2 linked regions of the Caenorhabditis elegans genome follow. The protein of the gene in region 2 purifies or fractionates together with the protein of the main gene of each other region. This does not show direct contact. Each region holds a gene or a part of one and is shown on either strand. Other genes may lie near its edges. The genes, in order: cht-1 and atg-13.

Region 1 (4,966 bases), on a different chromosome or scaffold from region 2:
TTTTTTGGCGATCGTCTTCTCCAGCCCAGGACTGTCGAATGTCATTCCCCTATTTGTTATCATTCCCATCTTAGCAACTTTCGATTTATCCGTCGCTGCGATCAGTGGCGAATCGGCTTACGCGATCGTACCCGAACTATTCCTCGCAAATGATAAAGTTTTGGGATCAGCTATTGTGGGCATCGTTCAGGTTTGTTCATGATGTTTCGCTGTAACAATTTTTTAAGGTTATTCCAGAATGGATTTGGAGGGGTTTTGACAAACTGCCTACTAACTGCTTTGAACACTCATGGAATATCAAATGTACTAATACCATTTGTAGCAATGAACACAGTTTATGTAGGTGTTACTTACAAATGGCTTCCCGAAACTGCAGGAAAAACTCCACAGGTAACAAATAATAATTAGAACATTTATATTTTAAATACCTATTTTAATTTCAGGAAATCAATCGTCACTTCTCACCAGAGTTTCCTGGAACAAATGTATTCTTATACTTAAAACACAAAGCCTCGAAAACGTTCGCATATCTCAGTGGAAAACCGGCGCTGATGAACTTTATCAGTTTTGTGGTGCAGTTGGCGTGCTGCATATTTCTTCTCGATTTTGGAGTGAACATTTACAAAAACATTGGAAAGTGAACTGGGTCTCTCTTTTCAAAATTGATACCAGTTGGCAATCGTCGAAACAAGTTGGTCTCTCAAGAAAAATGGGTTCTTATGCATGTAGTTATAAATTAGGGGTCGCTTTGTTTGTAGATTGTCCATGAAATAAAAAAGTGTTTTGTTATATACGTTTATTGATACAATAAATACGTTTTAAAGTTGAATATACATTAAATGAATAACATAAATTGTTTACTTTTTGAGTTGCTACAAGCAACAAATGACAGGTGGCCCGTGGGAATAACGAAGTTATAGGAAATAAGGAATGCAAGAATGAAATTAAACAGATGTTGGAAATTAATACACTTATTTTGCACATTTTGATGGATCTGGACGATCACACATCATTGTGTCAGCGTGGAAGCTCAAACCGTTGGGGCACTCAAAGTTGTATGAAATACCATTCACACAGCGGATAAACTTGAGGCAATCACTCGGAACTCCGAAGAATCCATCCTTGGTACACTTGAAAGCCGGTGTAGTGGTTGTTGGTGCTCTTGTAGTTGTGGTGACAGTTGGCGCAGATTTTGTTGTCGTAGTTGGAGCTCTAGTAGTGGTCACAGAACATCCAGAAGCAGTGGAAGTGGTACAGTATTTCAGGGAAGCAGAGTATTGAAGTCCTGATGGGCACGACATGCTGTATGATTTTGCTGAAATTGAAAATTGTTCATAAACATTCTAAATAATATAATTTTTAAAAACTTACAGCTCAGACAAAGAACGAAAAGTCCGCAGTTGTTGCTGTTTGGATAAAATCCATCCGATTTTCCAGAACAGACATTTGTATTGGAAGCTGTGGTTGTAGTAGCTGCACGTGTTGTAGTTGTGGTAGCGGCAGTAGTTGTGGTTACTGCTGAAGTCATTGGAGGGCGTCCAGTTGTGACCGTAGTTGCTACAGTGGTTGGAGCAGTTGTGACGCCACCTTTCTTTGGAATGATAACTCCTCCAAGCTCCTTAGCAATGACACTGATGAGTGGGTAAAGCTGACCATTAGAGTTGCTGCATCCAGCATTGAAATCGTCAAAATCAAGAGTCCATACAAAAGCTCCTCCGTAACCTTCTCTCTTAACGTATGCCATCTTGTTGGCAAACGACTCTTCATCATCGTACGACCACCATTGATTTCCTTGTACGAGATATGGAACTTGAGACTGGCTATCCCAATATCTGGTGGCTCCATTGGCGAGCATCTCGCAGAACTCGAAGTAGGCTCCAACTCCGGCTTCTTGAACATATTGAGTGATCTTAGCTGGGGATCCGCTTGTTCCTGGATTAATTGCACTGGCATTGTTCAAAGTCCATCCTCGTCCATATGTTGGCATTCCGACGATGATCTTCTCTTTTGGCATACCCTTCTGGTTCCAGTATCTAGCAGATGAATCAACGTTCCATCCATTCCATTCAGCTGGGAGCTCGGTCGTAGCATAGAGTGGAGAGTTGAATCCAACAAGAGAAGCCCATGCTCCGAAGAAATCGTAACTCATGAGAAGAATAAAGTCAAAGTTCGGTGCCAAGTTTGGAATATCATACCCAGCATCGATTGTGGCTGGTCCTGCGGCGACAGCGGCGGTTACAAGAAGACGATCCTTTCCAGTGCTTCCGGCTTCCGACTCACAAGCAGCCTTCAACTCCTTCACGAGGGCAACGTAGTTAGCCATGTCAGTTGCTCCAGAAGGGTACTCCCAGTCGATATCAATACCATCGAATCCCCAAGTGCGAACGAAAGTGATAGCAGAGTCGATAAAAACTTTTCTAGACGCAGAACTGGCAGCCATTCCTTGGAAAAGTGCAGTTCCAAAACTCCATCCTCCGAACGAGAGAAGGGTCTTGAGTTGGGTGTCAGTGACTTTCAGCTTGTTAACTCTTCTGTACATTCCTTCTCCAGCCCAATCATTTGGCAAGTCTGCTGGATCATATGCTCGAACGGTGTAGTCAGCGTTCATCCATCCGAATGCAAAGAGAATATGCGTGCAGAGTCCTGGAGTGTAATCCTCTGGCACAAACTTGGCTCGTCCTTGTCTGAAAAAATAATTGAAAAAAAAACTAACTTGCAGACCAGAAAACCAGAACTTTTTCCCACTATTCATTCCTCACTGCATACTATCATCTTTCGATTATCGTCCCCCTATTCACAAATACGATTAAATTTCAAACCTGTATTGAGCCCAGTTGGTGAAGTAGCACGGTCTGATGTAGCTATTGGTTGGCTCGGATCTCGCCACTGATCGTGAAGTGATTTTGTTTCGTGCAGCGACAACATCCGCCGGATCTGAAGAGAACGTGTGAGAACAGCGGGGTTTTGTTTACGTGCTCTTGAACTATATTGGCAAACACTGAGTGACCATTTGAAAAGTCAATACTAGACTTTTTGTGTCAGTCTGTATCAGAAATTCAATGGTTTCAGCTGAACAGTCATTAGAAAAAATTGCCGAGATAACTTACGGTTTCTAATTGTAGCACCCGTCCATGTGTATGCAATTGGCAATATGAAACTTGCCACGAGAAGGAATTTGCCTAATAGCATGCTGAAAAAATACAAAAATATATTTATTCAGAAATACGTTCACCAAATTTTCGAATGAGAAGAATGGGTGAAAGGGCTATTGCGGAAAAACAAGCAATTTAAAGGAACAAAAATGACCAAAATGTACATAGGTAGCCGGACTGGTGGCGGTTGTTTGAGCACCTCGGCTCACAATGCACTTCGTACAGTGTGCTCATTTTCCAACGATTATCGCTCAAGGCGAAAAGAAATGAGGATGGGTGAGTGAGGGGGACTCCACTTTCCGCAAAAACCACCGCACAAACAATAAAATTATGACGATTTGAGTCAATCCAAGTATCCAAGAAAAAAACAAATTTGAATAAAACACGTAGACAATAATCAGGCCTGTACCAGGCCAAAAGGTAGAATAATTGAGTTGGTCCGTCAGGCAGCCAACAAAAATGTCTGAATGATTGTGGCTACATAGAATGGTCTCTACATGGGAAGGTGGGCGGAGCACCTTATCTAGGTCAATCTCGGCCCATTAATGCGGCCCAGACCCTTTATGACATCATGAACAATAGCCGAGCAGGATTTGATCTTTGCTCTCTAATAAGAAGGGTGTTAATGAATGAGCAGTCTACCAACATTGATTGAAGAGACAGTCGTAAAGATGGTAATCTTGTTGCTCAGTAAGATTGAAAGATCAGACTACAAAACAGTTGGGAAATACGGTCAGACGAGCACTTTAACATTGATTATTAATATTGCTTTCATGTTTAAATTTTTGAGAGAGAGCTTATATATTATTTCTAAAATAACAAAAGTTTATATTGTTTCACGTACAATGTCTGATAACAGATAAAGTGTTTTCAATACTTAAGAGCGTCCCATGACAAACACCCACACAAGTATGCCGGAAAGTTTAACCGTGTTTAAAACGGAAGTGACGACGAATAGAAAAATATTGTTTAAAGCATGTTAAAAGTGCATTGCTTACAGCACTGTTGTTTTTGGAGCTCTCGATCAACCGAATTTTTTCAAATCAAAATCATGCTTAATATGTACTAACAAAAAACGATCACCTAACATGCACATAAGTTTTAACAGTTTATAAAGGAAAATGTTTTGGAATTAGAAACCTCGAAAAAAATTCGATTCTACGGGCACGAGAATATTGCTGGAATTATTCACTTTTTCGGAAACACAAATTTATGAATATCGCTAGTATACACCAATTTCGACAGTGACGCGGACAACTCGTTTTGAAAGCCCGCCAAAAAAAAAACGAATTTCTTTTATTTTCTATTCTAATTACCTATGCTTTAGATACACATATTTGAACATTAAAGCTGAAGCCTGATGCAATGCTTCAACTTCTCTGGCAATATTCAAAAACTTCTATGTAAGACTGAAAATTTAAAAAAAATCTTCAAAAAAAATTGAGTATTAAATTATGATATTTGGGCATGTGGAACTGTGATAATTAAACAAACTTCTTACTGACAAGAAGCCACCTTTGAACAATTTCAGAATCAGAAAATACAATCTATTTATTAAAAACACTATTTTGTCTCACTTTTATACTGATTAGTCAGATTTCATTTTTCGTTACTTAAATGATGATGACAAATAGAACAGGATTTTGAAATTTTATTAATAACGTGTTTGCTTATCAAATTAATTTCGTTGACTCATCACTATTGCTCAGAAGATATTCCATCGGATCGTATTTAGCTATTTCGTGTTTCAGCTAATATCCACAAATCTTTTTGGCATCGAGAGTACGACTCATCCATTTTCGCATTTTAAAATG
Region 2 (4,747 bases):
AATAATTGTCAAACCCATAACACATTTTATTTTTATATTCCAAAAAAATATTTTTAGAATGAAGATCTTATCGTTGATTCTTGTAATTTTGGTGCTTGTGGTGTCAACAGAATCCGCCGCTTCCAACAATATTTTCTCATCAATCTTTTCTTTTGGCAAGAAAAAACCAACAAGTACTCCAACACCTAGTTATTCAAAAGGTTTTTTTTTAGTTCTTTGTTCAAATGATCTTTGGATTTACATTCCAGCTTCCGCTTCCACGAGCCGGTGTGGAGTACAAGCATCACAATGTTCTGCTTATGAATGTTGTAACTTTGATCAGACATGTCTTCGAAACCGCTGCTTCCCAAGACTATCGGTAAACAAGTTCAAAGATAATTAAAAACTTATTGTATACGTTTTTCAAACTGCACAGAGAAACCCATAAACTTTCAAAAGTTTCAGAACTGTCCAGTTACTCGGGACCAATGTGGAAATGCATGTTGCAAGACTTCTGAGCAATGTCGCAATGGAAAGTGTTCCCGATAATTTATATAACTATACATTTATGAATATTCAAAAAACAATATGTGCACAAAAAATTGTGAAACGAGTGTAAACGTGTGAAAAGTGTACATGCGATGTATACAATATGGGAGATTGTAAATTTTCAATAAAAAAGTCACTCATCGGAGAACGAATTGACGTGTTTCAGGAAATTGTTGAAGTTGGCAGTTTGAGAACTTATTTTTTCGAGCTGAAATTTGATTGAAATTTGAATTTGTTAATTAGTTATAGTTTTTGGTTTAAATGCCATTAGCTATTTATTTCCAAACTCACCTCTGTTTTCAAGTCCATGTTACAAATATCAATATCACCGGATTCTGTCATATCGGGAGCAGTTTTCAGCTGCTTCAGATAGTCTCCCAGCTCATTACCAAGACTTGGCGCACCACCGAAATCTGATAGCTGATTAAACTGAAATGAAATAATTAACGACTCGTTGATTAACTAAGGCTTACATGAACAAATGAATCTTCACTCAGCTCCATTGAATCAAGTGGCAACTCTTCATCTTCATCTTCTTCAAATACAACTTCGTCGATTTTAGCGGCACGGAAGCTCTCAGCAACCTTTTCTATCGTTGGCTCTTTGTCTTCTGGAGTTGATTTTGGAGAATCTAGATTTAATAATAAATATTTGAATTATTTTTATATTCTTACTGAGACAAGTAGAAGAAGAGTTTTTCTTGGTTCCATTTGCTGGATTGTATGCCGACTGTAGTAGATTCACGAATGGGAATGAATGATTTCGTAGATCTGCTAGAGATGGTTTGTGATCTTCTTCATAAGAATTTTGAACATCTGAATGTCGAGAGTCTTCACTTGATGTTGATTGTCCAAGAATAAATCTAGGAGCAGCTTCTCGGGAGGTCTTAAATTTTTTAATTCGTTTGACTTTGCATAAAATTTTTTTGAAAACTTACAGAACTTCCAGCACTTGTAGCAGATTCAACACTTCCACTTGCTTTTCTTTTTTTAGCATCAGCAATTGGAACACATTCTGAGACAGTTCTTGTTTGAATATTTTCATCTACAACTGTCTTTTCCCCGTCATCAATTTCCTCTTCTACATCTTCAACAGGTCTGAAATTTAATAATTATTTAAAATCGGAAATTATTCTATTTAATCCCTTACGTTACTGGAGCAATCTCTGGTTCCTCGAAATGCATTGATGTTCGGTAATGTAGGTCAAGACTGATATTTCCAAATTTTGATACAAGTTCTCCAATTTTTCTAGTTTTCTTTCCTTTTCCCATATCAGATGAAATATCATTTTCAAAAACTCTATACATAATTACAAAAGTCTCCAAGTGCTGCTTTTTCACATACAATCGATGCATTGGAGTCATTCTGGCTGATACAATTGCTGATCGAAGCAATGTGCTCATATCATGATAAAGTTCATTTCTTGAACAATCATCAGTTCCTTCTGATGAGCTAAGAATCCACGCTTCAAGTGGTAATAGTTGTCCACTGGGTGTATAGAGTAGAAATTCGAGAGTAAGAGTTCCGACAGGTGGATAACTTTTGATGTTGGATTTAAGATAAGCTGAGATTTCACCGAGTTCGTCAATTCGCATATTGAACCAGTCGACTGCGTTTTCCGAGTACGGTACACATTTTGATTCAATTTCATCGCCGAGGCGAGACTGAAAATTTATGGAATATTAGGAAATTTTGATTTGTTTTTATTGTTTGGTAACTATTGTATGCGAAATTTTTATTTTTTGAGCCACAAATACTGTACCCGGTCTCGACAAATTTTTTGTTAAATGCGAGAATGTTCGCGCCTTGAAAGAGTACTGTAGTTTCCAACTTTGATCGGTGCTGCGGAATTTATGTCTTTACTTCAAAAGATTTCATTGATTTTTCAGAAATTTCACATGTTTCATTTTAGTTTTTTTTTTCGATAAATTAATAGATTTTCATACGAAAACTATGAAAAATCGATGAATATTTAAGCTCAACGAAATTTTGAAACTACAGTACCCATTAAAGTCTCAGACCTGTTTGAATTTTACTTAATTTTACTAAATTATTTTTTACATACAATGGCGCCAATAAATTCGGATTTTCAATAAAACAAATGAGTTTCGGAGCATTAATACTCTTAATTAAAAAAAAAATTATAAATACCTGAATTATAGATTGAACCATTCGCACCGAGAAGAATTTGAGCCATTTGTTGTACGTGTCGTACTCATTTACCATGTTTAAATAATATATTATTGATCTGAAAAACAAGACGATGGTAGTAGTCACATGAGCGTAAAAGAGACGAGATGAGTGATACAATAAACTGGAGAGGTGGTAGAGAGAAAGTGAGATGTTGAAGAATTTGGTGAAAATAGAATGGTTGAAGAGTGTTTTAAATGGAGTTAGAAGAAAAAATCCTAGTTAATACTTTTGAAAACTGAAATAATCCTGCATTGAGAGCGAGTTTTTGAAATTGCTGCTCTACTGGAGAGTTCAAGGATAAAAGGTGCAAGAACGGCAGTACATATTGAGCAGCTGGCTATTTTAACAATGTTTGATAGCAATTTTTAAAAGTGTAAAGATGCTCAATGTGCACAATTGTCATCGGTTCTTGAATCAATAACTGTGGAGTGCTGGGTGCGCCTGCTTCACGTGATGGCCGAGAACTCGAGGACTAGGATTTTTGGGTGCAATACACAGATGTGGCCTCACTGGGAATGGCTCGGAAAAATTATGTTCACAATTTGTTTTGAAGGTAGTTTATTTTAAAGAATAGGTAAAACTGTGGAAACGAAAAACTGCTAATTTTGAATCCATAATATGAATAAAGTTTGAAATAAATCACTTTATTAATAATATTGTACACTAGTTAATATGTTTGGCACAGATATGGACCGGACTATAGTATATGTTTGACTAAATCACAATTAAGTGTTACGAGTTTTGGCAAGTAAATTAAATCCTCCGGTACCGAGGTTAAAATATCGATTTTTTGTACAAAAAATACATATGAAATCTACCGTATTTCTTCTATTAATATGGCTGCAATACTATTTCTCGATGGTCTTCCCGCTTGCAATACTAATAGGGAGTGCAAGACTATTAGGGAGTGCAATACTAATTTTCAGAACATTTTTCTGACTTTGAGCTTACTAGTTTTTTTTCTGAAAAAGCTCGAATCTTATGTGAAAATTCAGAAAACTTGATTTTAATTGTAACATATAAGTTCAAAAACGTTTAATCTCGTAGAACTGTTGTGAAAAACTGTTGCAAAATAAGCAATAAGTGTTATAAAAATCTTTAAATTACTAAAGAGGGTTTGCACCAAAGAAGTAAACGCAAGACTATTAGGGAGTGTAACACTAATAGGGAGTACCATACTAATTTTCGGAAGGTCTCCGAGGGGAAATACTAATAGTGAGTGCAAGTCTAATAGGGAGGCCATATTAATAGAAGATATACGGTATAATATATTATAATACAGCTATGGTTGTTCAACTATTTGAAAGACTTTTGACAATCCAACAAGACAATGAAGATGACAAGAAAAATATCCAAGACGGTAGTTTCCAGCAGGAATATTATTGAATTCACAAGCCAGAAATTTGCTACCTTCAATTACTTGCTCAAAACAAGTGGCAGCATAGATCCAATTTGTGGCAGTGGTACAGTCGTTGATGCTGGACTGAAATGAATCAATAATTTTATAAAAATAATGGGTGTAGTGTCCAATCAATAAAACCAATACGCGAGTTAACCACAAAATTTTGTGATTTTCGTGCCAAGAATATGTTACCCGGTCTCGGCACGACAAATCTTTGTTGAATACCAAGAGGCGAGCGCCTTTAAAGAGAACTGTAACTTCGAATTTTCGCTGTTGGGGAATTTTCTTCCTTTAATACGTTTTTTAAAATAGTTTTTACACGATTTTTAAAAAAAATTAACAAATATACTGTTATATTTAAAAAAAAAACAATAAAAAATCAATGAAAATTCCGCATCAGCAAAAATTCTGCTCATATCTCTTTGCATTTAACAAATTTGCCGCGTCGAGACCAGATATCATATTTTCGCCACGAAAATTCCAAAATATTTTCTGTCTGACTATTAATAATAATGTATTACCGGAAAAACTCCAATCCAATCACGATAACTTCCATTTTCTTTGTAATATAATTCATTCACTTGGAATCTTCCAACTAATGGAATTGATGTGTACCAAGTGGGT

Evidence for each region.
Region 1: the proteins of atg-13 (region 2) and cht-1 fractionate together in Caenorhabditis elegans (co-fractionation; one large-scale study listed by BioGRID). This does not show direct contact.

Annotation. Positions count from the first base shown.
Region 1 is NC_003284.9:3,396,828-3,401,793, forward strand, and holds cht-1 (putative endochitinase), read right to left. Parts: upstream 3,191-4,966; 5' UTR 3,190-3,190; coding exon 3,108-3,189; intron 2,935-3,107; coding exon 2,820-2,934; intron 2,685-2,819; coding exon 1,372-2,684; intron 1,316-1,371; coding exon 972-1,315; 3' UTR 786-971; downstream 1-785. Other genes in the region: slcf-2 (Major facilitator superfamily (MFS) profile domain-containing protein), read left to right, coding at 1-190, 238-390, 444-641.
Region 2 is NC_003281.10:8,155,415-8,160,161, forward strand, and holds atg-13 (Autophagy-related protein 13 homolog), read right to left. Parts: upstream 2,777-4,747; 5' UTR 2,755-2,776; coding exon 2,680-2,754; intron 2,193-2,679; coding exon 1,678-2,192; intron 1,626-1,677; coding exon 1,466-1,625; intron 1,414-1,465; coding exon 1,203-1,413; intron 1,160-1,202; coding exon 1,002-1,159; intron 958-1,001; coding exon 820-957; intron 737-819; coding exon 662-736; 3' UTR 533-661; downstream 1-532. Other genes in the region: D2007.1 (uncharacterized protein), read left to right, coding at 59-200, 249-358, 445-528; inpp-5K (Inositol polyphosphate 5-phosphatase), read right to left, coding at 4,004-4,204, 4,645-4,747. UniProt on the Caenorhabditis elegans protein: Component of the unc-51/atg-13 complex required for autophagosome formation. Required for the degradation of germ cell specific P-granule components such as sepa-1 by autophagy in somatic cells.